Linked DNA regions of Rhinolophus ferrumequinum. The main gene of each other region encodes a partner of the protein of the gene in region 2 in a complex. Links are inferred from orthologs where the notes say so. Each region holds a gene or a part of one and is shown on either strand. Other genes may lie near its edges.

Evidence for each region. Proteins that work in one complex are often made in the same cells at the same time.
Region 1: the proteins of GNA13 (region 2) and G-protein coupled receptor 35-like are in contact, whole or in part, in a cryo-EM structure (PDB 8H8J), measured with the Homo sapiens proteins. The link is inferred for Rhinolophus ferrumequinum from reciprocal best matches to the Homo sapiens genes GNA13 and GPR35. Residues at the interface, in NP_006563.2 of Homo sapiens: Lys46, Arg47, Leu48, Val49, Lys214, Asn215, Val216, Phe218, Arg331, Gln337, Gln338, Lys340, Pro341, Leu342, Tyr343, Phe359, Arg360, Asp361, Lys363, Asp364, Ile366, Leu367, His368, Asn370, Leu371, Lys372, Gln373, Leu374, Met375, Leu376; in NP_005292.2 of Homo sapiens: Phe45, Gln51, Thr53, Thr55, Met59, Asp113, Arg114, Ala117, Val118, Pro121, Leu122, Arg123, Arg125, Arg128, Ala197, Leu198, Arg201, Pro202, Thr204, Asp205, Gly207, Gln208, Ala211, Ala215, Met218, Val219, Ala280, Lys281, Glu282.

Annotation. Positions count from the first base shown.
Region 1 is NC_046291.1:883,367-887,107, forward strand, and holds the start of G-protein coupled receptor 35-like, read right to left. Parts: upstream 2,825-3,741; 5' UTR 2,774-2,824; intron 1-2,773. UniProt on the Homo sapiens protein: G-protein coupled receptor that binds to several ligands including the tryptophan metabolite kynurenic acid (KYNA), lysophosphatidic acid (LPA) or 5-hydroxyindoleacetic acid (5-HIAA) with high affinity, leading to rapid and transient activation of numerous intracellular signaling pathways.
Region 2 is NC_046304.1:45,092,096-45,095,836, reverse strand, and holds the start of GNA13 (guanine nucleotide-binding protein subunit alpha-13), read right to left. Parts: upstream 2,678-3,741; 5' UTR 2,445-2,677; coding exon 2,162-2,444; intron 1-2,161. UniProt on the Homo sapiens protein: Guanine nucleotide-binding proteins (G proteins) are involved as modulators or transducers in various transmembrane signaling systems.

The DNA of each region.
Region 1 (3,741 bases), on a different chromosome or scaffold from region 2:
CTACAGATCAATATCCTGCTTGACCATAGACACAAAAATCCTTCAGAAAATGTTAGTTCATTGCATCTAGCAATATATATACATATAAAGTCAATCATATCCCAAGGACCCCAGGAATGTAAGGCTGATTTTAACATTAGAACATCAATCAATATAATTTACTGCATTAATAAAGGAGAACATTTATATAATCCTCTCAATCAATGCAAAAAATAATAATAATTTGGCAAAACCCAACCCCTGTTTATGACAGAAATGCTCAGCAAACGAGGAATGACAAAAGGCCCTTGACCTGACAAAAGGCCTCGCAGACAACCTGCAGGGAATTGCGCTCTTAGTGGTGGGAGACCCTGTCCCACTGCGTCAGCCACAGGGAAAACAGCTCTCACCACTTCTATTCAAAATGGCTGGGCCGGGGCCACTGCGTCAGGGGCCGGTCCTGGTCCCCTGCAGGTTCCTGGGACCTGGGCAGGGGTGACGATGGGCGGCCGTGGCACACGTGTGTCTGTGTTCCAGCTGGCATGTTCCAGCTGGAGTCCTAACCAGGGGAGATGAGGCAAGAAAAAACCTGCTATCAGAGAGGGAAGGAAGAAGGAAAACTAGAAAGTTTCACAAAGGACATGTAATTGTGTATGCAGAAAATCCCAAGGCATTTACCTCAAAACCCCAAAACAATGAACTAGTAAGTGAACTAGCAAAGTTATAGGACATAAGATTAATATACAAAAAAAGTATCTCTATATACTGGGAACAAACACAACCAAACCAAAGGGCGTTGTGTTAGACAGCTTAGCTTCTGGGCATCCCACAACTCTGACCTCTCAACCTCCACCACTGCCTGCCAGCCAGGCCACCGTCACCGCTCCCTCAGCCAGGCCACCGTCACCGCTCCCTCAGCCAGGCCACCGTCACCGCTCCCTCAGCCAGGCCACCGTCACCGCTCCCTCAGCCAGGCCACCGTCACCGCTCCCTCAGCCAGGCCACCGTCACCTCTCCTTCAGCCAGGCCACCGTCACCGCTCCCTCAGCCAGGCCACCGTCACCGCTCCCTCAGCCAGGCCACCGTCACCGCTCCCTCAGCCAGGCCACCGTCACCTCTCCCTTGGATTCTGCAGCAGTCTTCTGGTTGGTCCCTGCCTCCAGACCATCTCTGAGACCTCAGCCAGAGGGAGGTGTCAAACATACTCACATCAGTTCCTGTGTAAACTGAAGTGGCTCCCTCCTGCCCAAGCTCCTTAAACGGCCTCAAGGTCCTTGACCTACCTCTCCAGCCTCAGCTCTTGTCACGTTCTCTGAGCCCACTCCCCACAGCTGGCACGAGAGCCTTTTCTATTCCCTGCGGGTGCCCAGCTCCTCTGCCAGCCTCTGCCCTGCACTCAGCTGACCCGAAGCTGGTCACGGACCACCCCACACATCATGGGGTGGTCAGGGCCATCTAGGGGACCTATGTGCGGCTCATCCCCTAACGACCCCTCAAGGGCAGAGGCTCCTGGCGTCTCGGCCACGTCCACAGCACCCCACTGCATGCTTGCAGAGGACTTCGGAATTAGGGGGCAGAGGGGGCCAAGGTGGAGGAGAGTGGTATGAGAAGCTGGTTGGTCTTCTCAGTGGGGTGTGGGGGACGAGGGATGAGCCCATGCCAGCGAGAACACAGAAACACACGTGTGCCACAGCCTCCCATCGTCACCCCTGCTCAGGCCCCAGGAACCTTAGGGGACCAGGACCTGGCCCAGGCCAAGCCACTGCTGGCTCCCTGCCCAGCAACTTCACCTCCTGGCTGACTTGTAAAGGGACCAGGAGTCCTAGGCAGCTGAGGGGGGCGGGGCCTGAGCCCTAGCTCTGTGTGTGGGGGTGTGGGAGTCGACAGAGAGTGTGTGTGTGTGTGTGTGTATGTCTGTGTGTGCGTGCGTGTATGTGTGCATGTGTGTGCATGTGTGTGCATGTGTGTCCATGTGTGGGGTGTGTACCTGTGTGTGTGTGTGTCTGTGCGTGAGGTGCTTTAGGAAACACACACAAGTGTCCCCGACTAGCCTTCCACTCCCTGGGTGAGCAGGCCTCGTGGTCTCAGCCCCAACTGGGGACGACGCTGTATGTGAGACACAACCTTACTTTCAAGAAATCAGACAGGAATGGCCAGAGGGTCCTGACACGGACTGGACGCCCACAGGCTGCAGCCAGAGCCCACGGCTTCCGTCTGGGCTTCCCCGGGGAGGGAGGGGGCCCCACAGCTGCAGAGCTGAGAACTCTAGGGAGCTGGTGGGCTCAGCCTGCCCCCGCAAACTCATGCTCAGAACCAGAGAAGGCCCTCCCCTGATGGGGCACAGTCATGTCCAAAGACCCCAAAATGTCCCCAGGAGCAAAGTGACTCTTCCATTCATGTCAAAGTGCAGCAAAGCTGGCTTAAATCTGTTAAATACTGGGGGCAGGGGGACTGCAGCAAAATCAGGTGAGGCCAACATGGGGCACTCAGCAGGAAATGGTTATGAATGGAGAGGGAGACAGAGAGTAACGAGCCTGGAGCGTCTGAGAGCCTTGGCCCCAGCCTGGCCGGCCCTTGCCGTCTCACTCCAGGTCCCTCCTGCCTGCTGCTCAGGAAGCCCCCAGCCAGGCCCCCTCCCTGACTACCTACTCTCAGGGCACCAGGGCCTCGATGCTCACGCGGAAGCTCTGCCCCCACCCCACCACGAGACTGACCCGGGCCTGCGGGAGGGAAAGCGGGCGGGACAGTCACAGAGAAGACTGAGGACCAGGGCTGGGCAGGACACGGCTCTTACCGAGAAGGCATGGCCACCATGCCTGGAACAGGAAGTGGTGCGAGATGCCAAGAAGGAAACTGACACGGGACAAAGTCTGCTGGGAAAGGAGGTGTTCTCACCTGCTCACTCCCAGACCTGCCCGCCTGGGTCTGCCAGGTCACCGCGAACGGGAGGGAGGCAGTCATCACCCGACACAGTGCCCCACCAGCAGGTCCACGGAGCAGCTGGGGACCCGACAGGCCGGGCCCTGGACACAGCCTGGGCTCAGCACTGACACTCAGTTTGGCCCTGCTCGTGGCTGCCTCTGAGTCCCACGGAGCCCCAGGCCGGCTGAGACAGCAGTGGCCTGCCTGGGCCCCAGGCCCTCCCAGTCTGTGCGGGCCCCAAGGTCCGCAGCCCCAGTTCAGCCTGGGCTGCCCTGCACTGGGCTCGGGGCCAGTGTCAGACGTAAGAATATAAACTGAGGCTGAAGTGTCTGGTGCATCCGAGTTCCAGTAGGGGGTGGCAAGGGGTGGCAAGGGGCACGGCCACTGCCGCCGGGCGTGCTCGGACCCTGAAAGACCCCGGGGAGCAGGTCCACCACGTTCTCAGCAGTCACTTCCAGGCGGCCGAGGACTCCAGGGAAAAGCAGAGGGCCAGCCCTGAGAGAGGGGACACACTGGGAGTCCAGAGGGCACAAGCTGCTTCTGGAGGTCACCCAGCTGGGTGGGGGCTGCGTTGAGTGGCAGCTGGCCTGTTGGGGGCTGAGTCTGCCCTGGGGGAGGCTCCTTCAGTGCTGCCGGTGGACCTGGAACCATGTGTGGCGGGAGGGGCGTGGAGACCGGGCCCCACTGTGCCCAGACCCCTGCTTCCTCAGCCTCAGCTGCGCGTCCCAGAAGCCCAGGTGGCAACTGTCTCCCCCGGCTGACTTTCCATCTCTGTCCTCCGTCCTCCATCCGCCAGGGCCCTCTGCCAGGCGAGTCCTACCCCATCACCCAGCGAGAGAC
Region 2 (3,741 bases):
AGACCTAGTGAAGAAAAAAGAAATTAGGCTGCATAGCCTAATGTTCAGGCTATGAAGCAAACGGCTACAACCAAGATTTTTTAAGCCCCTCAAAAAGACATTTATTTATAAAATGCCAAGAACCAAACATTATCGCTCTATGTTCTGTTTGGTCCTGGAGCACCCTGCTTAACGCAACACTGAGTCTTCTAGAAACACATTCAAAACTCAAAAAACTTGTTCCATACTAAGTTTCAAATCAGTGTTAAGTCACAAGACGGCCTTAGATTTCCCTAAAAGAGAAGAAGACCAAATGCAAAAAACATGTACATAAAAACAGAAATCTCAACTCAGAGATTGGTTCAAACCCAGTATTTCTATCACTAAACTGTTACCTTTGGTCCATCTTAACAGTCACATGATTATCAAGAAGTCATTTGTTTGGATAACTGAAACACTTGTTTTGCTGTTAATTTTCTGATCATGCCAACTCAAAAAAAGTTATGTATCTAGTGATTTACTTCATCTCATAATCAATGCTCAAAGTGGGTCACACTTAGGACCCAGGGCACAGTTAAGAACCAGGTGTTTACCTGGCTCATAATCAGTTAACATGTTGACTCAATTCACTGACATAATTCCTTAAGTTCAGCTACATCAGGATACAAAGGTACCTTCAATTAAGGACTGGCAAGGCGGAGTCTGCGGCCTTGAAAGAGACCTTAATTAGTTTTGTGCTAAACATTAAGATAGGATAAATACAACCGTTCTGTACAGCTTAACTGCAGTGGCACTAGGGCTCGGAGCTCCCTGTGGTCTGGAGCTTACAGCCTAGTGCTCTTCTCCCGTCATTACCCCACAATCCTTGCCCCCCAAACAGTTCTCCTCTACTCAGTCCTGGGAGGACAAAAGTGAGCCCAATGAGTTGCTTGAGTACTTCCTGAACAAACAAACAAAAATGACCGAAAAAAGCACTGCCTGAAAAGACCTGAAATCTGTTACAAACTCCTAGATAACTGCTACAAAGATGAAAGAATCTGGATACACCTGAAGTACCAGGCTGTGTATCTCAATTTGCCAAAATGTCTTTTATAAAGTAGAAGATATCTGATACTATGACAAGTGAGTGCTAATCACCACCAAAAGACAAAATAAAAACCATCTTGTCTAATTCTTTGAAAGCCCAGAAATAAAATTCTTATGTATTTTTCACTTAAGAACAAAGTTTAATTTTAAAAATATTGTCCAATAAAAGCCGAGTTTAGATCCAAGCTGACACTGATTCACTGACTACCTGTACAGGCTCCACATCCCTATTAGGCCAAAGATTCTTTACCTGAATGCACAATTTCATTTAAATAACAGAAGCAAGTGGGGGTACACACCCTCCCTCCCACCCCCAGGCATTAAGCAAAAATGAGAGTGGAACGTGTTGCATAGTGATTACAGGCAAACATCCTGCCTGACCGTGACCGAGGGGCGAAAAACCACTGATGTTAAGTTTTGCAGACTAAACTGCACGGGTCTCCTCTTCCCTCATTGCCAGCACAGTAAACATGACACCCTCAAGTTTCATATCCTTGCTCAAAAGGGCCTAAGGGCTGTCACCATTCGCCCTTGACAAGAATCTCCGGCAAAAGTTTCCTTATTGTGATCGTGCAACTCCTTTGCTCAGGAGGCGGCCAAGGAAGCAGGGATTTGGGAACAGACCGACTCCATGCGACTCGGGTCACCCACCCCGGGCGGCGAGGTTGGGCAGGCAGCGCGGGGGGCGGTGAGTGGGGGTGTAGGGTCTGAAGCTGGCTCTCAGGTCTTCCTGCCCCGTCTGGAGGGAAGACAGGCGAGGACACCCTGCACTCTGGTGCACTAGGTTCGCCTCACTTCCCTCTCGCAGGGGGCGAGGCCAGTGGCGCGGTGGGGGCTGGGGGACCAGACGTGCCCCCTACCCGGGAGTCAAAGTGGAAAGCGGGGCGCCCCGGGTATCCCCTCCCCTGGGGGACGAAGGCCCCAGGGGCAGGAAGGGCCAGTGCCCGGGGCGCGCCCCCATCCTGCCCGCCCGCTGGGCCCGGTCCTTCGCCGGGGACTGAGCGAAGGAGGGCGGTGCCCGGCCCCGCGCGGGTCACCGCCGGCCCCGGCCGCAGCCCCGACCCTCGGTCCCCCGGCTCCGACCCTCGCCCGGCACCTTTGATCACGTTGCTGTAGATGGTGGGGCGGAACTCCTCGCGCGCGCGCTGGTCGAAATCCTGCCCGTGGATGATCCGCATCTGCTTCAGGAAGGTGGACTTGCCGCTCTCGCCCGCGCCCAGCAGCAGGATCTTCACGAGCCGCTTCACGTAGGTCTTTTCCCGGGACAGGCATTTGTCGATCTCCTTGGACTTGCGCTGCTGCTCGGCCTCGCCGCTCGTCAGCACGCAGCCGGGGAAGCACACGGACAGCACGGACCGCGACGGCAGGAAGTCCGCCATCTTGCCGCCGCCGCCGCCGCCGCTTCGGCGGGCCCCTCCGGCTCCCTCCACCTCCTCCTCGGGCGGCGGGCGACTCCGGCACCACGGGCTCGAGGGCGGGGAGCGTTGTGGCGGCCCGAGCGCGCCGGGGGAGGGAGGGAACGAGCGAACTGACTCGCAGGGCGGGCCGGGCAGGGCGGGCCGGGCGAGCCAGGAGGGAGGGAAGGAGGGCGGGCCCGAGAGGGGCGGTGGCCCCGGCGCGTGCGCGCGCCCGCTGCCTCCCGGGGGCGCGCGCGCACGCAGCAGCCGCTCCCCCGCCTCCCGCCTTTTACGGGCGAGTTACGCTCTAGCTCGCGTACGCGCGGCCGCTGGGGTCACGTGACCTCCGGTAGGGCCGGGCGTGAGCGTGCGGCGTCCGACTTTCTGTTTTCCTTTAATTAGCTGCGCCCATTCCCGGCAGAAGGGCTACTTTCCTGCGTCCTGGAGGCCCGAGACACGATCTCAGACACTGTCCTTTGGGCTCCCTAACTGTTCCCGCCCCTCTTTCTCACAGGTTTCGTGCCCTCCGCCTGCTGTCACCGTTCGCGCACCTTATTTCCAAGCTTTTGGCTGGAAAGTTATTTAGACAGCGGGCGCGAGCCGGGAAGGTTTGGGGTATATTTTCAAAAATAAGGTGGTTTCGTTCACAGCCTGGTCTCCCAAGCGCCGAACGATAACCAAACGTCATCAATACACCCACCCAACTATTTTTGGCATTCTTATACCTCTGCAAAGACCACACACACACCGAGGCAAAAGAACGAGTTGAAGTTAATCTGAGATGTGCTAGGAGGGGTTGTTAATATCTCACTGTGGATTCCCACCCGAGCTGCCGCGATGAAATCAGTGGATGGTAGCTGCAGCAGGGTGAGATCATGGTGAAAATCCCCCTAAACCGGACACTGTGATGCAGACTCTTCCCTACAAGGAAGCAGATAAGCAAACAGACCGAGGACAAGAGCAGGCAAATTTTAGGTTTCCTGCCAGATTACAGAGGATATGACCAGCCAAGGGACTTTTTTCTGTTCTAACAGCAGATTTAGGCCAGGACACCTGAAAGGGCTGCCAGGAGACAGGTAACAAGTGACAGCTAGGAGAGAGACTGCCATAGCAAGGACCCCGGAAGCCTCCTTTTTCATTTTTAGTATTTAGTTTCAAGTGGTAAAAACCATTTTGGTCTGTCTCTCTTTTTGGCAGTGCAACCATAATACTTTTGATTTGGGCTCCTGTAGCTCAGAAACTAGAACCTATCGGGGCAGTTGAGGTAAGAGGTCAGCAC